Xenopus tropicalis: one gene and its partners. The protein of the gene in region 5 purifies or fractionates together with the protein of the main gene of each other region. This does not show direct contact. Links are inferred from orthologs where the notes say so. Each region holds a gene or a part of one and is shown on either strand. Other genes may lie near its edges.

The links.
Region 1: the proteins of e2f1 (region 5) and rbl2 purify together in Homo sapiens (affinity purification with western blotting; 3 studies listed by BioGRID and IntAct, with this or other methods). This does not show direct contact. The link is inferred for Xenopus tropicalis from reciprocal best matches to the Homo sapiens genes E2F1 and RBL2.
Region 2: the proteins of e2f1 (region 5) and sirt1 purify together in Homo sapiens (affinity purification with western blotting; 3 studies listed by BioGRID and IntAct, with this or other methods). This does not show direct contact. The link is inferred for Xenopus tropicalis from reciprocal best matches to the Homo sapiens genes E2F1 and SIRT1.
Region 3: the proteins of e2f1 (region 5) and psmd14 purify together in Homo sapiens (affinity purification with western blotting; 3 studies listed by BioGRID). This does not show direct contact. The link is inferred for Xenopus tropicalis from reciprocal best matches to the Homo sapiens genes E2F1 and PSMD14.
Region 4: the proteins of e2f1 (region 5) and skp2 purify together in Homo sapiens (affinity purification with western blotting; 6 studies listed by BioGRID). This does not show direct contact. The link is inferred for Xenopus tropicalis from reciprocal best matches to the Homo sapiens genes E2F1 and SKP2.
Region 6: the proteins of e2f1 (region 5) and kat2b purify together in Homo sapiens (affinity purification with western blotting; 5 studies listed by BioGRID and IntAct, with this or other methods). This does not show direct contact. The link is inferred for Xenopus tropicalis from reciprocal best matches to the Homo sapiens genes E2F1 and KAT2B.

What each region holds. Positions count from the first base shown.
Region 1 is NC_030680.2:49,421,783-49,425,327, reverse strand, and holds part of rbl2 (retinoblastoma-like protein 2), read left to right. Parts: intron 1-575; coding exon 576-713; intron 714-1,241; coding exon 1,242-1,406; intron 1,407-2,909; coding exon 2,910-3,018; intron 3,019-3,545. UniProt on the Homo sapiens protein: Key regulator of entry into cell division. Directly involved in heterochromatin formation by maintaining overall chromatin structure and, in particular, that of constitutive heterochromatin by stabilizing histone methylation.
Region 2 is NC_030683.2:38,239,832-38,244,013, reverse strand, and holds the start of sirt1 (NAD-dependent protein deacetylase sirtuin-1), read right to left. Parts: upstream 2,803-4,182; coding exon 2,454-2,802; intron 433-2,453; coding exon of another isoform or gene 319-432; intron 1-318. UniProt on the Homo sapiens protein: NAD-dependent protein deacetylase that links transcriptional regulation directly to intracellular energetics and participates in the coordination of several separated cellular functions such as cell cycle, response to DNA damage, metabolism, apoptosis and autophagy.
Region 3 is NC_030685.2:72,340,103-72,344,201, reverse strand, and holds the start of psmd14 (26S proteasome non-ATPase regulatory subunit 14), read left to right. Parts: upstream 1-1,281; 5' UTR 1,282-1,310; intron 1,311-1,336; exon of another isoform or gene 1,337-1,373; intron 1,374-4,099.
Region 4 is NC_030677.2:198,008,182-198,011,726, forward strand, and holds part of skp2 (S-phase kinase-associated protein 2), read left to right. Parts: intron 1-886; coding exon 887-998; intron 999-1,264; coding exon 1,265-1,408; intron 1,409-2,364; coding exon 2,365-2,499; intron 2,500-3,152; coding exon 3,153-3,251; intron 3,252-3,545. UniProt on the Homo sapiens protein: Substrate recognition component of a SCF (SKP1-CUL1-F-box protein) E3 ubiquitin-protein ligase complex which mediates the ubiquitination and subsequent proteasomal degradation of target proteins involved in cell cycle progression, signal transduction and transcription.
Region 5 is NC_030686.2:41,701,472-41,705,317, forward strand, and holds the end of e2f1 (transcription factor E2F1), read left to right. Parts: intron 1-1,584; coding exon 1,585-1,829; 3' UTR 1,830-3,302; downstream 3,303-3,846. UniProt on the Homo sapiens protein: Transcription activator that binds DNA cooperatively with DP proteins through the E2 recognition site, 5'-TTTC[CG]CGC-3' found in the promoter region of a number of genes whose products are involved in cell cycle regulation or in DNA replication.
Region 6 is NC_030682.2:45,629,678-45,633,222, reverse strand, and holds part of kat2b (histone acetyltransferase KAT2B), read right to left. Parts: intron 2,667-3,545; coding exon 2,577-2,666; intron 1,111-2,576; coding exon 929-1,110; intron 1-928. UniProt on the Homo sapiens protein: Functions as a histone acetyltransferase (HAT) to promote transcriptional activation. Has significant histone acetyltransferase activity with core histones (H3 and H4), and also with nucleosome core particles.

The DNA of each region.
Region 1 (3,545 bases), on a different chromosome or scaffold from region 5:
CAGGAATGAAGATTTTTTTTGAGAGAGGCAGTCAGATACCAAAGAACATGTTTACAAAAAAAGAGACAAGAAATCCTGTGTTTCTTTTGATAGAGGACTTAGTGCAGCTTTTATGTGAGTTCTTATGGCTGTATTTACATAGACCTTTCTGATAAAGCTTACTTAGTTTTTACCTTTCCTTCTCATTTAAAACTCCCTGCTTGCCCTGGACAAATGTGGCTAAATCTGGTGGTTGAGCTGGGAGAGGGTACCCCAGTACAAGGCTATTGCATGTGTGCTGAGGCTTTAGTGACTAGGTAGTAGAGGGAGTGGTCTGGGAGCTGTGCCTATGGAGGGACTGGATGCAAATCTGGCGATAAGGATGTGCCATGAGTTGTTATTCACGAGATCTTTTTAACTGGTACATCCAAGAAAATATTTCATGTAAAGTTTGGGTATGGTGAGGATATACTGTAAAACAAGGTTAATTTTAATTACAATATCCCTTTAAATGATAACCAAAGACCAGTGAATTTTTTTCATGGTTTATTGATGTAACTGGCTCATTTTCTTTGCTCTTGTTTGTTTATTTGCAGAGTATTCTAGAACAAGATGTTTTCCACCGCTCCTTGATGTCTTGCTGCCTTGAAATCACTGTATTTTCCTACAAGCCTCCTGGAAATTTCCCCAGTATAATTGTCATGTTTGAGCTGGCACCATATCAATTTTACAAGGTACTTTTGTAGATAATATCGGTACAATATAAATGTGTAGGTTATTGGTACTTTTCACACTTTTGTTCTTTTGGTTATGAAAACCATATTGATATTTGGGTAGTTAAGTGGAAAGGTTCAATTTCATTGATCCCTTGATTTTTGGGAGACTACTTTCTCTACTTTTTTTTGCATTTGTAGATAAATGTCCCTCTTAGTTTATTTGTTCATCTACCTGTCTGTGTATCTGTCTACCTTTATGTTTGTATTTAGCACCAATAATCCTGTCTTGCTTCCATTTGTTTTGCTGCTGGCCATCTTGGAGTCAGAAAGGAATTTTTACCCCCTCTGAGTCAAATCGGAGAATCTTCAGAAAGGGTCTTTTTTTGCCTTCCTCTTGATCAACTAGTGTTTTGGCAGGTTATATATAGGCACGAAAGGTTAGGCTTATTAGACTTGCGTATTACTATGTTACTATGATGAGAAAAAAAAACAGTGCCATGGCATCCTAAATAATCAGTAAGAACCAAGAATACATTTACTTGGCAGGTTATTGAAGTTGTTATTAAAGCAGAGGAAGGCCTGTGCCGGGAAGTGGTAAAGCATCTTAACAACATTGAGGAACAGATTTTGGAGTGCATGGCATGGACGCATGATTCACCTTTGTGGGACAAGATCAGAGAAAATGATGGAAAGATCCCACTGTGTGAGGAGGTACAGCTCAGAGAATGTGCACATTATTGTTTATATCTTCTTTAGCTAATTACCAAAAAAGGCACAAATTCTGTCTAAGTTGTATGCATGCACTATATTGTAGAAATTTTCCTGCCCTATTAAATATCAAGTGGTTTGCAGCATGTAATTCAAGATGATGACACAACACTAAATGGTTTTGCCGTCAATGGAGACCCTAGTTTTCATAAGACCATAAACTACAACTTATGATGCTTTTCCTGTAGCATAGCAGTCAAATCACTGGGTTTTCTGGGAGTTACCTAGTACAGGTATGGGACCCCTTATCTGGAAACCCGTTATCCAGAAAGTTCCGAATTACGGAAAGGTCATCTCCCATAGACTCCATTATAAGAAAATAATTCTAATTTCCTTTTTCTCTGTAGTAATAAAACAGTACCTTGTACAGGTATCTGACCCCTTATCCAGAGACCCATTATCCAGAAAGCTCAGAATTACGGAAGGCCTGTCTCCCATAGACTCAATTTTAATCAAGTAATTCAGATTTTTTAAAAGATATAATTAACCCTTATTGGATGCAAAACAAATTAATGTTTTATTGGTGTTTCAGTAAACTTAAGGTATAAAGGTCCAAATTACGGAAAGACCCCATATCCGGAATACCCTTGGTCCCGAGCATTCTGGATAATGGGTCCTATACCTGTACTTGATCCTAACTAAGATATAATGATTCCTTATTGGAGGCAAAACAATCCTTATTGGGTTTAAATTATTAAATGATTTCTTAGTAGACTTAAGGCATGAAGATCCAAATTATGGAAAGATCCCTTATCCGGGATCCTAATCCGGGTCCAGAGCATTCTGGATAACAGGTCCTATACTTGTACCTGGTTTCCCAGAAGGGCAAATGCATATATGCAGTGAGCATTCAGGTATGGCAGAGATGTCACCAGGATGAACCCAAGTTTTTAAGTGGTGCTTTTTGCAGGGTGCATAGTATATTATGGGATGCCCATCTAGAATAGAGTCCATTTTAAATAAATAATTCCAATTTAAAAAAGGATTTTTAATTTTATCTGTAATAGTAAAACAGTACCTTGTACTTGATCCTAACTAAGCTGCATAAATCCACATTAGTAGCATGGTGGCAAAACCAAACCTATTGGGTTTACTTAATGTTTAAATGATTTTTAGCAGACTTAAGGTATGGTGTTCCAAAATGACAGAAAACCCCAGGTCCCATGTGTTCCAGATGATATATCCTGTACCTGTATACTTACTTGAAAACACACGGCTCTGTGCCATTTTTCTTGAAAAGTTTAAACTGATATCATAGAGCAGCATAATCTTTTTCAATGATGATGATTATTATTATTATTATTATTATTATTATTATTATTATTATTATTATTATTATTATTATTATTATTATTATTATTATTATTATTATTATTATTATTATTATTAATAATTATTTAATATTTTTTTTGTATCCATGAATTTGTTTGTGTTCTTTTGTTTTAGGTCTTACATCCCCAGCATTTTGAAAAATCTGGTGACAATGGTACCACAGGATCTCTTACTCCAAGAAGAATAAACGAAATACGTGCTGATGCATCAGGTTTAGGAAGGAGTAAGTAAGAAGAGGCTTGACTGTGTGTTACAGTTTATATTTATTATTAGCTGTTTATAGAGCCACATGGCTTTACACATATTATATATGAGTCACATCAGTCCCTGTGCCAGTGGAGCTTACAGTAGTTTATTAATACCCAGTGACACATTATTTTATACTTCAGTAGTAGGTTCAAATAGAGATGCTGGACCTAGACATTTGTGATAACACTCTTATTAGTTGTTTTACGTTATAAACCTATTTTATTATAAAAGATATGCATTTTCATGTAAAAATATGGGGGTTGATGTTCCTAACCAGACAGACATGTCCCATCTTGATTTTGACCAATACTGTCATGGGAAAACATACGTTTTTATCAGTTAAAAGAGCAGAATCCTGCATTGAAATCCATTTTTCAAAAACACAAACAATTTTTTTTTATATTTAATTTAGACATTTCACATCGGGCTAGCCATATTCTTAATTTCCCAGCCATGTGACCTGTGCTCTGACAAACTTCAGTCGCACTTTAATGCTGAGCT
Region 2 (4,182 bases), on a different chromosome or scaffold from region 5:
AAGACCACAAGATGGTCAGAAAGCTATCAGCAGAATGTTTTGTAGCAGGGATTCTGTACCAGTTAATTTATGAAGCCCTAATAAGAAAGGTCTCAGTGGAGGTCACCACAAGTGTCCAACATAAAAAAAATTTGTGTATTTATTGTCTAATGTCCATTGGTAAGGCTGTAAGAGGAGAATGCTATAAATTTATCAAACTCAAACTAATTTTTTCTAATATAGTAAGGATAATTCTGTTATAAACTAAAGATTTTGCTAGCATGGTTATTTCTTTCTACTAGGCACAACTAGGCCTATAACAAAAATAGGCATCTTTACCTATACAGGGCCTGGGTGCCCAATCACTTGAGCTGGCATGAGATGCACCATCATCATCTTCACTGTCACAAGAATGAAAGCCACCAGCAAGATCATCATCCAGATGGATACCCGCTGTAAAAGAATTCAGCCAAGGGGTTTAAAACAAGGCATTTTCTGAAACAAAGACTGCACCAAGAACAACGTTTTCTATCCAATACACAAGTACATTTTTGTCTTTGTGGCAAAGATAACACATTTTGTAACAATTTAATAATCACTCTCAGTGAAAGGGTGTAAATGAGTGATGAGTGGGGTCACAAAATACACTTTTTCCTGGAACTCAATCTGTTAGTGACGTCACCAAGGTGGAGGCTCACAGAAAAAGATGATGGTAGGTATAACAATACCAGCACCTGGACCCACCAGAACCAGCAACCCAAACTCACCTGACCAGAGGACAGTTGATTTACACATCACTAGTGGAAATTTTAAATGTTTCGTCCACACCTCCTGAGTTGTTACTCATTGTGAGCAAAAAACAATGGGAACTGCCCTGTGTGCAGTGCTGATAATGGGAACTCATTCCCCCAAACCCTAGCACCCTCAACTAGCCTCCATTAGCCAACTCCCTGCTCCCATTCCACATGGACAATTATGCTAAAAAAGATCACAAAATGAGCAGATCTTCACCCGCTGGTCATAGGTGCTGTCAGACAATGCATCCCCAATCAGAAAACCACACCTGTCCCATCGAGATCTGGACAATTTAAGACTGTCAGTCGTGTAGGCCTGAAGGACCCGAATCGGAAGCTGAAATACCTGTGTATGGCCAGCTAAAGTGCTGCCCCAGTAGTATGGAGGCTGGAAAAGCACAGAGACAGATCAGGGAGTGGCAGTGAACTTGGCTCACCACCCACAAATTGCAACCCCTGGGTTATGCAGGTTTTAGGTCGACCTGCACTGTTGTGAAACCTCCATAAAAATGCAGAGTACCGTAGAGGAGATCATAGGTGCCATCTTCTGTTTCTTCAGATCCTCTTCATGCAACAAATCCACAATTTTTAGGATCCGGCCAAACCCTGAATCCTTTGCAAAAGATTCGGCCGAATACGGAACCGAATCCTAATTTGCTTATGCAATCTTCAGAATCTTGCTGAAAATGGCCGAATCCTGTATTAGATGCATCCTTGCACTTCACAGAACCTCCTTGCACTTCTTCAGAACCTGAGCAGTTGGAGCTACTCTGGGATCAGCTTTAACTATGCATGTCCCTCAGGCTCTGTGTCAGCAAAGTGAGGATACAAAAAGTGATGACTGTGACTCCCGTTACTCTGCATTTAATGGCAGGTTCACACACATGGACACTTTTAAATGTAACTTTGTGGGGCTAAAAGAGGCCAGTTAAGGAGCTGTTTTGGGGAGGCTGAAATTTCCTTCAGGAAGGACCCTTAAGTTTCTTTATCCTACCAGTACAAGGACAGTTAATGAGCTCTATACAGCCTATGTGTAGATAGTTAAGGCCAAGAGAAGGCAATAGCCTCCCTTTTGGGAAAAATGCCCTGAAGGGAAGAAAAGTAGTGATGTGCCTACATTTTAGCCACATCCAAGCCATTCACAGCCTGGGTTTGTACATGTGTAGTTGAGTAAAGCTCTTTGACTTGCCTGCTGTAGGGATTCCAAAGAGAAGGTAAGTGAAGATTTTACCCTGGGCTGGTGCATTTTTTTCTACAAAGGAGCAGCGGCCCAACTATAGGGTGTAAGCATAACTTTTAAGCTTTCTTGGGCAGGGCTCTCTTCACCTGTTGTATCAGTTATTGATTGCTTTATATGTTACTCTGTATGTCCAATGTATGAAACCCACTTGTTGTACAGCGCTGCGGAATATGTTGGCGCTTTATAAATAAATGTTAATAATAACTCACTCACATATACCATTGCTAATGTTTTTAAATGGAATATATGTTCAAACTTGGCAAAAGCACCTTCATTTGTATGGGTCAGTATTAGCAAATGGAAGGGAGAGAGGAGTAGCACTCTATACCCACTGATGCGCTGAATCGCCCACATTACTGCACTGAAGAACCTCCAAACACCTACAGAATATGCCCCGCCCAATGCCGCTGTTAGTAGGGAAAGAGTTAAAGGGAACCAACCTCCGTAATCAACAGCCTGATCCGACAGGTCTCCATTGGGCATCTCCTCGGCTCCGCCCTCCTCCTGGCCTTGTACCAAATACGTTCCCAAAGGAAGGCCCTGAAAGCCCGAGCCATTGTGCGCTCTGGATTTGCTTTCCATTGCCGAAGAGGCCTCGCCTTCCTCCTGGAGAGAAGCAGCTATAGGCGGCAATGCCGCTTTTCCCTCGCTTTCAGCCCCCACAAGCTGGCTCCCACCCCCGCCGGTATCTTCCAAGCGCTGCCTTTTGGAAAGGGGCTCGCCATTTTCTTTTGAGACAGCTAACACAGCGCCGGCAATGGGAAAACCTACACGATCTGAGTCCGCCATCTTCCCACTGCCAGAGAAGGAGTCGCCCATCAGCTGTACGATGGAGCGCAGCGAACCACGTGATACACCGTTTCCTATTGGTTCCCCGGCCGTGTGACGTGTACAATAACAAACTAGCCACTCGCATGGTACCTGGGGATGCGCTGGCACCGCCACAACGAACGGAGAGGGTGTTGGAAAGCGAAATCGGCAATAAAGTGTCATTTTCAGGGGTGTGTTGGTGTGGTGATTGTCAAGCCCGCAAAGCCTGTTAGCAGATACAAAAGCCAAAGGAGAGGGGCATTTTTTATAGTCCGTGTAAAAACTTTCTCTTGAAGTTGTCTCATGTCTAGGGGGAAAAGAACTGGGGAGATGCTGAAACCATTTTGGCGTCATTAATCAGTGTAGGTTAATAATATTTGGCTTAAGCATCATTTTTAGAAGCTCTGTGCATAACACATTTGTGGATGTAATTTGCCGAAATTGCCTTAAGAGGAAACTTGGGGCGACTTTGGCAAATTGCTGCGCATTGTATGCCACCCCACCAGCGATTTAAATTGTAGCCAGTGGGATGGCATTGCGGGGAGATTAGTCGCCCGCGACAAGGGAGATTTGTCACTAATCTCACCATGTGTCCCTGCCCTAAGGGGAAAGACACATGGAGCTACTAGTAGCAGCTACTTTTTCAAGGTTACTAAACTCCAGAGAATCCCCTGCCATAGACAATACTGAGAATTGCCAAAAAAAACACATAGAGACGGTTATCAGTAAATGATCAGCATTGTCTAATTTAGTAGCCACTACAAGTAGCTGCTACTAGTAGCTCTGTGTGTCTTCACCCTAAGGGCTCTGGCACACGGGGGAGATTAGTCGCCCGCGATAAAACTCCCTGTTCGCGGGCGACTAATCTCCCCGAGTTGCCTACCCCTGCCATCCCACCGGCGAACATGTAAGTCGCCGGTGGGATGGCAGACGCAGCGGGGCAATTTCAGGGAATCGCCGAAAAAGACTCGCGAGTGGGATGGCAGGGGTAGGCAACTCGGGGAGATTAGTCGCCCGCGAACAGGGAGTTTTATCGCGGGCGACTAATCTCCCCCGTGTGCCAGAGCCCTAAAACAGAATATGAACAACTAGAATGGCTATAGAGCAGTGCTGCAGTGCCGAGGGCCGGAATTTCTCTAGCATACGTGGTGGAGGGCCGCTAATGGAAGCCAGTTTTGACCACTCCCCTTTTTGAAACCACACCCACTTCAAACCACACACATTTTATCACAATGGTGGTAGCACAGCAAAATCCCAAATGCTTGGTGCTTACTGTGGGGATATCAACCATCATTCATATGTGAAAGAATTATGTCATATTAAGATATACCCTTAAATTCCATATGCCTCCTCCTCCCC
Region 3 (4,099 bases), on a different chromosome or scaffold from region 5:
CAGGCAGTTTTGATCCTGACGGCCCTTCCGAAAACTGGGCTGTCTGGGTCAAATAAATGACAGATGGCAACCCTGACAGCCTCTGATGCCACCGTAAAAAAAACAAAAAACAGCCTATGGGCCATGGCAGACAGGGAGATTAGTCGCCACGTGACAAATCTCCCTTGTAGCGGCTGACTAATCTCCCCGAAATGCCATTCCACTGGCAAGAATGTAAATTTATTTGCAGCGCCGTATATGCCATCCCACTGGCGATATACATTCTTGCCAGTGGGATGGCATTTTGGGCAGATTAGTTGCCATGCCCCTAAAACTCTTTCCGTAAATTTTATTGTCTCAGCCTTTGTTTACAAAACACCATGTGACCCTCATAAATAAATTTGCCACCTCATGTCAGAAATACTACTGTAAATACCCTGTAGTCTGCTGACATGAGTAATGGCCAAGAAAGCATATTTAAAGTATGATAGGAAATTTCCCTATTTCCTGGCCACCTCATGTCTGCAATACTACAGGGGTATTTACGCTTACATGTGTAGCAGCCAGGAAAAGAAATTTACGGTAAGTATGATAGGAAATTCCCCCTTTTCACCATGCCCTAGTAAACAAAACCTCTCTCCTTGTGGGTCAAATGGGGAGAAGGAAAATAAAACCTCTTTATTTTGTTCCCTGGCACAGGAAAAATCTAAATGACTGCAGGTGTAATATTGGGAGTTAAAGCTCTAGTGGCAGCAGGCATAGCTCTATGGCTTGGAATTTCAAATGTCACCTGGTTGCTAGGGCTTAACTACCCTAACAACCAGGAAGTGGTTACACAGCTAGAATGACAAGCAAATAAAGAATACGAGCAGCAATTAAATGGAATCTTCATAGGCAATGAGTTTTTTTGTTTTTATTATTGGAGCAGTTAACCCCCAACAAATTGCATTTTCAGCTGTGGAAAATTCCCTTTTACGCCGTGCCCTAGTAAACAAAACCTTTCCTTGACGGTCAAATGGGGAGAATGAAAAAAAAAGTCTCTTTATTTAGTTCCCTGGCACAGGAAAAATCTGACTGATATTGGGAGCTAAAGCTCTAGTGGCGGCAGGAATATCTGGCAACTTGACACAAACACAAACTACCGCGAATTGTTACTAGCAGATACTGAATGTGAGGTACGCCGTGTCTGCACGCCACGCCCCCAAGGCGGCTACGTGCCGCGTCACTGCCTTTACGTCTAGTTGTGACGCCTCAGTCTCGCGTGATGAGACTTGTGGCGACGGGATTTCCCGTGAGACAGGAGAGAATTTGCTTGCTGTTACCGGCATTGTGTAAGTAGCGATTCGGTACTACGGGCCGTGTTAAGGAAATCGGGACTGCGGGACTCTTGGGCAGTATGTACATGTTTTAGTTGTTCAGCCGCTGACCATTAAGAGAAGCATAGGAGTTGGTTCGGGTGAGAACTGCACACTCATCCTGCCGGCATTGTGAAGCAATGGCCTTTGCGTTGGGCCCCACAGCATTACAGGGCTCTTTTTGGTGCCAATATAGCATCAGCTTCTGATATGATACAGACAGCAGTATCCCAAGGCTGGTTGCAGTTGGTCTTTTGTTTTAGGAGTTTTTAATAATTTGTTGGGTATTTGGTTGTTCCTGAAGCTCTATGGCTTGGAATTTTCAAATGTCATCTGGTTGCTAGGGCTTAACTACCCTAGCAACCAGGACGCCATTACACAGCCAGAATGAAAGATGAATAGAAAGACAAGCAAGTGAAGAATATGTGCAGCAATTCAATGGAATCTTCATAGGCAATGTGTTTTTTTTGTTTTTATTACTGGAGCAGTTAACCCCCAACAAATAGCATTTTCAGCTGTGGGCTAAAAGAGGCAGAATCGACATTCCAACTTTTTCAAAGTGACACTGAATAGGTAATACAAACCAGTTGAATCTGTTCATTCAAACAGTATGAATAAATGCCATTTCTATATGCTGAAATCCAGCTGCAAAACAGTTCTTCTCTTTCTGCATCATTTGAAATCCTGGCAGGGGAGGAGGGACTAAAACACTGATGTTACAAATTGTAACAACTTGTCCACAGCCTACAGACAGCATTCAGGAACTACATAACCCACAATGCATTGCACTGTGATGTTCCTTTCCTTATTGACATCACGTGTGCAGGGAATTATGGGATTGGGAGGATGCAGGCTGGGGACAGGCGACTACTGTTACATTTTATTTGAGTCACAAAGTAGTCAGCCAGATCAGCAGGGGAACAGGGGGCGGGGCTTAGGGAACTGTTCCAAACCATATTATTACATTAAAAATCATGAAAAGGCTGCATATTTTTTAACTGATATATATTGCGAAGTTGCTTGAAATTATGTTTACTTTTCAAAAAGCATTTGTGTTTGGGTGGAGTTCCCCTTTAACTTCAGATGTGGCCAGTTATACATTCCTCACCTTCACTGCTTTTCCATTTTGAATTCCGGTCTCGCGCCCTTTGCAACTTCTTGGGCCTTTCCACCTGTGACTTTAGTCCTGCATCCCCATTCAGAACTTCACACAGAGGGACTGACACAAAATCTACCACAGTCAAGAAAATGGAGCAGGCTCATAGGGGCCAGTCTGGGGCAATTTACGTTTAGAGAGCCATACCTTATTTTTATGGTGTCTTCTTGAGTGAAGTCAACATTTTTTTTTTTTTTTTAATTTGTGCTATCTCTATTCCCAATTTTAACTGTATGTACATGTTATTCTTGTATATGAAATGCATTGCCATTGAGAATGTTGTGTCATTGTGATGTGTTGGTCTACTGTCCCCATGATCTCAGTTAAAGGAGAAGGAAAGCCTAAATCACTTGGGGGTGCCAAAATGTTAGGCACCCCCAAGTGACTTTAATCGCTTACCTTGTACCCCGGGCTTGTGCTCCTGTTGGGAGAGAACAGCACCAGCCCGGGGTACTTGTAGCGCTTCCTCCTTCCGCGTTGGCACATTGCGCATTAGAGTGAAAAGCCGAACAAAGTCGACTTTTCACTCTACTGCGCATGCGCCGGGCCAGGGATTTCGCCGCAGAAGAAACGTGGTATACTGCTTCCCCGGGCTGGTGCTGTTTTCTCCTAACAGGGGCACCAGCCCAGGGTACGAGGTAAGTGATTAAAGTCACTTGGGGGTGCCTAACATTTTGGCACCCCCAAGTGACTTAGCCTTTCCTTCTCCTTTAAAGGGAAGGAAAGGCTAAGTCACTGGTGGGGTGCCAAATATTATGTATTGTAATTGCTTACCTAATACCCCTGGACTGTGCCCCTGTTAGGAGAAAACTGCACCCGGAAGGGGTATAAGCTTGTGTTTCTCTTCCCCGGGCTGGTACAGTTTTCTCCTAACAGGTAGAAGTGATTACAATCACTAGGGGAGGGGGGTGTGCCTAACCCTAACATTTTGGCACCAGTAATTGTAACTTTCCTTCTCCTTTTAAGCTGGGTATGTGACCAGATATTGATGAACAGTTTTCATCCAACATGGGTGCCGCATGCCTGTGTTTAGGGGTTCAAACAAGCTGAACTGTGATCAGAGGTTGCATTAAATTTTAAATACTGTGATACAACATTGGCCTACCAACTTTTGCAGCCAAATTGGCTAATCTGCCATTTCAATTCTCAGACTGAATGGGCTAATTCAGGGGACCCCAACCTTTTCTACCTGTTAGCTATATTCAAATGTAAAAAGAGTTGGGGAGCAATGCAAGCATGTAAAAACTTAATGGGGGTGCCAAAAAAGGGCTGCAATTGGCTATTTGGTAGCCCCTATGTGGACTGGCAGCCTACAGGAGGCTCTGTTTGGCAGTACACCTGGTTGTTTATGCAACAAAACTTGCCTCCAAACCTGGATTTCAATAATAAGACCCTGCTTTGAGGCCACTGGGAGCAACATCCAAGGGGTTGGTGAGCAACATGTTGCTCCTGAGCCACTGATTAGGGATCACTGGGCTAATTGGTCGATTGCTACTTTCCTGCAGGGAAAAGCAGCGTCTCTAAAAGTAAACCCTCTGGGCCCTGTCACACTGGCAGGAAATCTTGATTTTGTGACCACATGCCTAGCTACAGTGGCCTATATGCTTTT
Region 4 (3,545 bases), on a different chromosome or scaffold from region 5:
AAAAGTCGTATAGGCTTTGAGTTTGTTTTTGTTTGTTTTTCTATCCAGCACTATTGCCAAATTGTGTTATAGTTGTGTTTCTCGCTTGTGTGTAAAGGTGGCCATACACGTGGCGATCTGACGATCGGTCGCACGAAACATCGTAAGATCCGCCACACACCATTCAGGGCTGAATCGGCAGGTAAGGAGGTAGAAACAATAGGATTTCTACCTCCTTCTGCCGATTCAGATCTGAAGGGAGAATTTTGGTCAGGCGCCTTCTATGGCGCCCGATCAAAATTTTCCAACTGGTCCGATCGGCGAGTCGACCGATATCAGCAGGTTCCTGCGATATCGGTCGACTCGCCGACATACCATACACGCACCGATTATCGTACGAAACGACGTTTCGTACGATAATATCGGTGCGTGTATGGCCACCTTTAGGCAATCAGCAGAAAGAGGCAACAATGGCTTTATCACCTTATAGTGCTCCCATGCTGTGACTGACAGCCGTATCTGATCCCATTCCCGCTCCCCCCAGCTTCCTGCCCTGTCGCAACCCCTGGGAGCACCATATGCCGGGGTAGTGCTTATACTGCCCGGTGCCCTTTATTTGCTCACTGTTTGGGCTGGGGAAATGCTGAGGCTTTCTGGCTAGTGTGTATCAGCCAGAGGCTTGTTGAACAAGCGGTTCTGAGCGCTTCACCCATGGGCCAATAATTAGCTGAAGTGGTAAGGTGGCAACTTTTCCTCTGAGCGCCAGCAAGCAGGGCAGCAAGGGGCACTGATCATAAGCAAGGGCAACTGCCAAGCTGCAAAAGCCATTGCATGTAGCATGGAACATCAAGATCCTTAGTCTTTATCTGAGGTTGCAGATATTCATTGTCTACCTCTTCCTTTTCAGTCATCTCCTGGGACACATTGCCTGATGAGTTGCTGTTGGGCATCTTTAACTACTTGCATCTCATTGACCTTCTGAGAGCTGCCCGGGTCTGCAAGCGATGGCACCGACTTCTGTAAGTTCCTTTTTATAATGACATTTTATGCATTTACTGTGTGTTTCGTCTGTGCCCTGTAGACCGCTCCATTGGTATCAGTGGCACATAAATGGCTCTCAGTGAGGCCACAAATTCAGAGTATAAAGCACCAGTCTATGGCAGCTTATATACAGTAGCCCCTTTGGCATTTAACAATATCCTGACTGCCAGTCTGGCAGCAATTTAATAGCAGTTGTACCCTGTGACCCCTTAATTTATCTGTCACCTTTCCCCTCTGCCCTCAGAACGGATGAGTCCCTGTGGCACAGCCTGGATCTTACTGGCAAACACTTGGCGGATGGAATCATAGGAAGAGTATTGTCTCTGGGCGTGGTTACATTTCGCTGCCCCAGATCCTGCATGGGCGAGCCAATGTTTACTAAGACTAGGTAAGTGTCCATCATGGATCTTAACATGGCTGCTAAACAGGCCAGTGAATGTGTGCATAGGGAGCACAATTGGGTAGGATTGATTTACCAATTGGGTCGTGGACCGCATCAGCTCATTGATGGAGTCCCCGATCCAATGGGTAAATCAATGCTGCCCGATTGACACCTGGCTGATTTTCGCCAGATATCAGTCAGGGAGGCAATACGTGTGCAGATAAGCTGCTAATTCTGCCTTAATGATCCAAATCAGCAGCTGAAATTTGAATGTGTATGGCCAGCTTTAGAGGGTGTAAAATATTTAGGCTAAGGCAAGGCCAGATGATATGCCATCCAATCAGAGCATTCCTTATAGACACTTACTGCCGGCTAAATGCCCAGTTGAAAGCAACAATGACAGTCATGTGCGACCTACGTTGTTGCAGTAAGTGGCTTCTAACAATAATGATCTTGGGTGTAAACCCCCACATACTCTCTGCACTCCAGTTCCTTCTGCTTTTTGTCCATTGTAACATCTTTTCTATAAATACAGTTACCCCCAGGCCCAGCACCATTTAGAGGCCTAATAAATCCTTATGGGTAAATATTTATTATTTTCTATTTATTTTTTGAGGAATAAGTTATTCCCACATTTCCCCTTTCTTTTTCCACCGGCGCCCCTCACATAAGGGGGAAGGATGCATAAGGGAAAAGATACTGTGTCTTCCATAATAATAATCTGTTCTAGACCAACATACTTCTTCCTCGAACATTGCCCATAGACTACAGTGAAACAGCGCACCCCAGTGGCCAGTGCATCTTTAAATATGGAGAATACTGTTTTATCCTTGCCAAGCAAATACCATTAGAACAAGGTGGCTTTTAGATATGGGATCTCCATTGTTCCCTCATCCCGAACATTTAATAATAAAATCTCATTGGTTGGTATAATGGTCCCCTTTATCTCTTTTTTTTTTTAGACATTTGCGCCTGCTCCACATGGACCTTTCTAACAGTACAGTCAGCGTGGGTGCTCTTCAGAGTATCCTCTCCCGCTGTCACAAACTGCAGAACCTGAGCTTGGAGGGACTGGTATTGTCCGACGATATAACCCGGTAAGGCAGTATTACAGCTATGTGTTATGGTTAGTGCTAGAACCACCGCCTTAAGGTTTCCTCCTCCGGTGGAAGTGTAGCAGGATAAATGTATCTGCTATACAGGTTAATGTTACAGTTTTATAGGGTAATGGAATAAAAGTTGCACAACTATAAAAAAAAAATAATGATTTGCCTTCCTCTTCTGGCTCTTTCCAGCTTTCTAATGGGGGGGTCACTGACCCTGGCAGCCATAAACTATTGCTCTGTGAGGCTACAATAATATTGTTATAACTTATCTTTCTATGCAGACCCTCTACTATTCATATTCCCATCTCTTGTTTTAACTACTGCCAGGTTGCTAGGGTAAATAAGACTAGCTGAACAAAAAGCCAAATAAAAACCATAAAATAAAAAATGAAGACCAATTGCACATTTATGCAGAATATCAATGTCTACATTATATTAAAAGTGAATTTAAAGGTAAAGTACCCCTTTTAGCAAAGCCATAGAAACAATTACAAAAAATATAGACATATGGCCCTTTAATATAGTTTGCTCCAGGTATGTATCCGGTAGAGATTATGGCCCAGTAACATATTTTTGGCTGGCAGTTGCACTCATGTTTCCAAATATGTACCGGCGCTGCAACTCACCGTCATTTCTTATTTCAGCTCCATTTCCCAGAATGAAGATCTCATCCGATTAAACCTTGGCGGCTGCTCAGGGTTCAGTTCAGAATCACTGAAGGAAATGCTAACCAACTGTTCCAGGTAAGGTTTGTTTAAAGGAAACTATACCCCCTGAATGAATGCTTAATCAACAGATAATTTTTACTATGTTAAGTGGCCTATTAAAGAAACTCGCCAAACTGATATATATATATCAGTAAATATTGCCCTTTTACATCCTTTCCCCTGAGCCGCCATTTAGTGATGGGCTGTGTGCCCCCTCAGAGATCAGCTGACAGGAAATAATGCAGCTCTAACTGTAACAGGAAGTAGTGTGGGAGTAAAAGGCAGAACTCTGCCCATTCATTGGCTGATGGGGCCTAGCGTGTATGTGTG
Region 5 (3,846 bases):
CAAACAAACTTGGTCTAAGTAATCTGTTAAAGGAACAGTAACACCAAAAAATGAAAGAGCTTTAAAGTAATAAAAATATAATGCACTGTTGCCCTGCACTGGTAAAACTGGTGTGTTTGCTACAGTAACACTACTATAATTTATATAATAAGCTGCTGTGTAGCCACGGGGGCAGCCGTTCAAGCTTGGAAAAAGGAGAAAAGGCACAGGTTACATAGCAGATAACAGATAAGTTCTGTAGAATACAATAGTGTTTTATCTGTTATCTGCTATGTGCCTGTGCCTTTTCTCCTTTGAATGGCTGCCTCCATGGCTACATAGCAGCTTATTTATATAAATTATAGTAGACTTTCTGAAGTAAACACACAACTTTTACCAGTGCAGGGCAGCAGCACATTATATTTTAGTTTTATACACTTTCATTTTTTGGTGTTACTATTCCTTTAATCCGATCTAACTGCTTCAGATTGCATGGAAATCTGCTGCTGTAGAGTCAGGCTGCTAAACGAGAAGCAAACCTACCATTTAGCAAGGGCTATACTAATCAGTCTCGGCTAATGAGGTCAAATTCTGGTGGCACTACAAAGTAAGGCCAGAGCTTGCAAATTTAAGGTGCAATGTTTGGTTGACAAAAACAGCAGATCTAAAAAGCATTGCTGTGGAACTGGGGATTTAATAAATCATGTGCTGGAAAGTGGCAGTTTTTTTTTTTCATTTATAGGCTTCAAAGCTTTATTGAATGGCTAGCATTACATAGAAGTATCTTGTCTGTTGTTTGGCACATAGTAGACCAACATCCATGTTGATTACTTACACCTTACTTGACTTGCTGCTACAAATTCCAGCCTACTTTAACATCACGGTATCAAGTGCATTTGGAGCTGTAGTTTAATAATATCATGGTTATATTGTAATCCATCAATGAGAATCCTACCTGCTCATGTTCTTTGTTCCTGCAACTCGAGGTGGAGACTTTGTCACAGAACATCTCAGCAGCAATAATATACAATAATACTGATGACCTCTATTGTTTATTACACTCACACTCTCTCTATAGGTGGCCATACACAGGCTGATTCTAGTTGCCAATATCGGTCCCTTAGACCGATTCGGCAGCTTATTGGCCCGTGTAGGGGCACTAACGACAGGCCTACCCGACCAACATCTGGCCTGGAATCGGGCAGGTTAAAAAATTTAGTCGGATCGGTCCTATTACCATCGTTCTAATTCGTTCGTTCAATCGGCCAAACAACTGGATTTGCTTGATATCGCCCACCTGTTGGTGGGGGATATCGGGAGGAGATCCGCTCACTTGGCGACTTCGCCAAGTAAGCGGATCTTAACGTCTATGGCCACCTTTACTCTCACTGCCGGTCAGTTCCTAAGCTCAGGAAGGGTTTAGCCCCCCACCCAAAGCTATTTGAAGCTTCTCCAGTTTTCCCTCAGTTGCGGTAAAAAATTTCCTTTCTGACACCAAGATGACAATTGGACCAGTTCCTGGATCAACTTGTTGTAAGAGCTATTATCAATAACCCTGTATTTTCTCACTCCACTAATATAACCTACTTGTCATGTTTTTTGTAGAGCCGTTCCTGCCACCAGAGAATGAAATACCTCTTGATTCTACCTTGAATTGTCTCCCACTTTCTCCCTCTAACCTCCTCCTGGACTACCGGGATGCTATGCCGGACTTTCTCCCCAATGACTTCATCAGCCTGTCTCCTGCTTCATCACAGGAGTACAGCTTTGGATTGCAAACCTGCGAGGGTGCTGCAGAACTTTTCAACTTCGACTGTGACTTTAGTGGCCTCACAGCTCTGGATTTGTAAAATAGTGCCTGAATAGGATATTTTTTTTTTTTGTCTAGCACAGAACCTATTACCAATAATCATTCATTGCTGCTCCAGTTCCTAATTGTCTTATAAGGCTATATATTCCTATGGTCCACATTCCTTTTGGAGGTTCATGTTTGTAATGCAAGAAAATCGATTTTGGAGATGTTAATTTGTATTACTAATCAAGCGCCAAAATAAATGTGTGTGTGAGTAATAAATATATATATATATAGTGTAGGTTGTCAGCGCTCAGGTTTTAAGTAATAAAGCAAAAAAGGCAACAAATTGAAAAATCAAGCAGTGAGGTTTATTTCAGTCCTATACAGGGACATTCGTCAGGGATCGAAAGTCCCTGTATAGGACTGAAACATCGGAACAAATAAACCTCACTGCTTGATTTTTCTATTTGTTGCCTTTTTTGCTTTATTACTTAAAACCTATGAGTGCTGACAACCTACACTATATAACCTACACTATATTTGATTCCTCGCTCTGGCACCTAGGTATCGCATTCTTATGGTGTGCTTCCTTTTCCATATATATATATATATATATATATATATATATATATATATATATATATATATATATATATACGCACACACACCTCTCTCCCTACTGCAGAAGATTAAACAAGAAACGAGAGGTTATAGTCTGGTCTTAGCACTTATATTTACCCATATGTGTGTGTGTATGGGGGAAATGATGCATTTTTAAAATGTTTTTCAGAGGGGTTAAGGGCTTGGTGTGGGTGGTGGAGAAAAGTGAGGCTTTAATAATGAACCTTCAAGCAGATGAACTGGTTGCTGATGGCCTAACCACTTCAGTATGTTAGTACGTAAGAGCTCTCAGCACAGACAGTCTTCGTGTCATTCTTTCTCTGAATGAAGAGCTTTGGGCCGCCCCTATTTCTTTTCCCCGCTCTTGGCATTTCCTGTGCATCCTTATAGAGGAAGTAGTATGCATTGTGACACATTTTGTTTTAATTTATTAAATCCCAGCAGCATTGTTGTCCCTTCCTTTAACCTTACGAACACCCCGTGCAAACAGCTTGCTGCCGGTGTTCTATAGTGTTGTGGTTTTATATAATATATAATTTGTTCCCTATGCTGTTTATTATGTTGATCACTTAAGTTACAGATTTTGTATATAAAAATGCACCAGGCTGAAGCTTTTGATTTGGAGTGTACAGCTAAAAAGGTTTAAAGAGTTGGGGGGGATTATTCTGTAAGTTGGTTGTTTGCGTATATTTTTACTTAAAAACTGCCCTTAAAAGTTGTATTTATAAGCGAGTTTATGTAGTAAAGTAAAAGTTAACTTTTTTTTTTTTTCTTCATTTTGTTCCCTTAATTGAGGGCTGTTCTGAATTGAAGAGCAGACGGGATCAGTGTGTTTGATTGAGCTAGCTTAATTTATCAATAAATCTATTTTCATTGCCAATAAAAAAAAACAACTTTTCAGCAAAAAGCGGTTTACAGCAAATCATCTTAAGTTCACATCCTTAATTGTTTTTGTTTCACAGCATTTTTTAATTATTACATTTTATTTAGAAAAGGAAAACAGTGCGAAACACAGAAAAAACAAGATGACGTGACGCCAAGCTATTGACAACCCCCCTCTCACTTGATGCATCTGGTTACATTGTCCCCGACCCCATGTTCTTTTTACCAGAATTATTCCATTGGTGATGTTCATGTGCCCCCAAAATCTTCCAGAATTTCTGTAAAATCTAAATGATATGTATAATCATCGGTGTACTATTAGAAGGCAGGGCCCAATGCAGATACATTTTCCAGGCCCTGGCATTATGGGTGAGGGAGTGGGGGGTTTGGTGGAGGGCAAAAGTGGCTCCCATCTTCCACTGCAGTGTGAAACTTTAAACCTTTCCCATCCCTTTGCTTTCATACTTGGGTCAACGAGCATCTGTGGGGAGCAAATATGGCGCCTGTCTGGCCACCCAGTTGTATGCTAGTTATGCCATTGCCCTTGTGTAATATTCTAGAATAACCAT
Region 6 (3,545 bases), on a different chromosome or scaffold from region 5:
TTTTTATTGTGCGTGTTCAATTTTTCTAACATATAAAATAGTTTATACCTTTATACCTTTAAAACTTTAACATTATTGCACCCCCTCCCTATGGTCATTGAGATTACTATAAATTAATACAAGTTTTATTGTAATTAAGGCACTGATAAATAAGCATAAAAAAGCTAAGGCTGATGGACCATGGGGAGATTAGTTAGATCAGTTAAATCTCAGCTACTGCAGGCGACTAATCTTCCTAAAATGCCTTCCCACCAAATATAAAGTGAATCGCCGGCGAGAAGGCATACATATCGCTTTGTTTTCTGAGGTCGCTTAAAGTTTCCTCTTGCAGGAAATTTTACTTTATTGCCTGTGGAAAGGTATTTCAGGGAAATTAGTCACCCACGGTAGCCGAGATTAACCGCAGGCAACTAATCTCCCCATGAGCCATTGCCCTACCAGCAAGTAAACTTTCAGTCAAAAGATTAGAATCCTATACCAGGTCTATGCTATTTGTTCATTACAAAGAGCAATTTCTTTGTTTCAGTTCTAGCTGTTGTTAAGTGTAGGCTGTGTGACTCCTCTTCACCTGTCCAGGGCTCTATGCTCAGTCATTTAGTGTGGCATAAGACAGCCAGAATAGCAAGAATAGATAAGAACTTGATAGAGGGAAGTACTTGCCTTGAAATATTGTGTATAGAGTGTAAGCCCTTGGCCTTGCCACTTTAATAAATATGGCAACACCCCGCAAGCAACAATCCACAATTAGGTCACATGAAATAATAATTTGGTCTTTTACTCAGGCAGCCAGTTCAAACCACTTCAGATTTTCTGTTGCAGTCTTTCAGTTTCACAAAGCCGACAAACGATGCACATCCACAAATCATAGAGATTGCATGCAACACAACAGCAATAGATACCCATTACTATTGCATTAAGAAGAGTGTACCTTGTATAGTTCTCCTTATATCCAGCAATATCATCATTTGGTGACCTTAGTCTTCGCTGGGAGGGAGTTTCCAAATGCCAGTAGTTGATGCGATTCAGGAACATTTTAGCCAGCTCTATGATAGTCTGTCTTTCTTTGGAAGGCAAATGGCTGAACTTGTACTGTACAAAATTATTTACACCCTTTAAAGAAAGTAAATACAGAGATGCACAGTGAATATAGTCTTCATGTTTTCAGACTACCTAGAAAGAAGATAACACAGATTTTGTTTTCTTGACCCCTGCCTGAAAAAAACGTGAGCAGTGTAGAAAGTAATTTGCTCTGTAATACAGACTCTGTTACTTGCTGCTGATCAGCTCAGTTCTGCTTGGCTACAATTAAGGCTGCCATCCAGATACTGATGCCCCAGTAAAGGTGGCCATACACTGTAAGATCTACAGGTGGGCGATATCGGGGTAATTCAATTAATTAAAACGGCAGGCATAGGCGACGTTGGTTCGGGAAGCGCATCAACTAGCCAATTCGGTCCCCAAATTGGTCTAAAGGACTGATATCAGCACCTAAAATCGGCCCATGTATGGCCACCTTTAGGCTTTAATAAGCCAATACTGAAAACTGGTCATTACTGTACATTGTTAAATTATTGTGCATGGCATGTGGTAGCTTCATAGTGTGGTGCAGAATGCAGAGAATGGGTTCTCAGTCAGCACACTTAGGTTAAATTGACTATAAAGAAAATAAATGAATGAGAGATGGTAGTTATATTTGCCCTTTAAACACTTTAGTGACCTAGAACTAGGAATTCTTCCCACTATCATTCTAGAAGAATAAGGTTATAATGACATAAAAAGCATTGTCAGAAAATTTTGGATTTTTTCTTCTAAAGCAACACACATTATTATATCTACTAAAAGAGAATAATGTAGGATTTTGCAGATTTGCCATTGGTTATGTGTTTATATCGCAAAAGGTCCAAAAACACGAATATGTAATGTAAGGACAAGAGTGTTCCCAATGTAGTCACTGCTCACTAAAGGGGTTGTCCACCTTTAAATTAACTTTTGTATGATGTAGACATGATATTATAAGATAATTTGCACTTGTTTTTTAATTTTGTTTCCTTTTGGTTTATCAGTTATTTGGAATTTAGCAGCTGTTTTCTAGGGTCCTGTTTACCATAGCAACCAGACAATTTGAATGAGAGACTGAAATATGTTTTGGAGAGGGACTGAATAGAAAATTACGTAATAAAAAGTAACAAAAATAATAAAATTGTAAGTTCACAGAACAACAGTTTTTTGGCTGTCGGGGTCAGTGACCCACCCCCCCCCCCCCCCCCCCATTGAAAGCTGGAAAGATAGAGAACAAAATGGCAAATAATTCAAAATCTATAACAAAAAAATAATAATAAAGACCAAAGTTGCTATGAAAAGGACATTTTATAACTAAAAAATAATATCAGTGATATACATCCCTCTACAGCCCAAGATTTCCAAAAGTTGCCTTGTTAAGAAAACACCACTTTCTAAGGAATAAACAATTAGACACTGATTAACAGCCTGGAACTTTGATAAGTACAAAAAGAAATACAAATATACATACATTAAAAAACTAAGGTAGGTAGGAAAAGATGTCAGATCCCCATTACCTGCTCAATACTAGGCTTCTCAAATGGAGGGGAACCCAATGATCCTTCCACTGCAGGTTTCACCATTTGCAGGATACACTTCCTCAAAAGCTGAATAGAAGAAGTATGTACATGCTTTATTCTTAGTTGGTAAGATACATTTCAGCAATAGAATAAAATGTAACTCTAAACCCACACATGACTATAAAATAATGCTCTCTTCAGCTATAATTTCATTCCCTGTTTTTACTTCCAAACAAGTTGGCAACTGTTTTGTATTGAGCTGTAGTATTTAACAACAGTTGTGGTTTAGAAAAAACTACCCATGGTGCACTGAGCTGAACTTATTCTGACATACCCTAACATGAGAGCCAGCATTACCCACAATTTCCTTATAGTCGGGCCATGCCTCCCAACTGTCCCGATTTTCAAAAGACAGTCCCAATTTTGACAGCTTAGCCCGCAGTCCCAGATTCTTTCTAAAAAGTCCCTCAAGCTAAAAAAGATACAATCTTTCTCAAACTTAATTAAAAAAGTAGCTTTTGGCAGAAAGCCCAGAAAAGTTAAGAAGCTACACATGCACTTAGATACAATTGTAACTAATAAGCTAAACAGGTTTTTTGTTTTTTTTTGCAAAACACAACAAGACCCCCAAACCCCCAGAAATGTGTTCAAACTTTAAATAACCTGCTATATTTTGTAAAATGGGAGTGGTATTTTAGGAGGTGTGGTTGCAAAAATGGGCGTGGTCAAAAATGTTGTCCCTCTTTGCATTTTTCAAATGTAGGGAGGTATGTACCCGCAAACAAAAGAGGAAAAGTGGGTGGCTAAAATTAGTACAAAATTATTTGTGTGCACCACAATATGGTGTATGTCCTGAACAGAAAATTTGCCTTTTAGTAGTCCCATAATACAGGGTTAGACATCTGTGTCCAACATACCTGCTTGTCTAATGTAAGTAATAAAGAGGCCTTACAACTATCATAATTT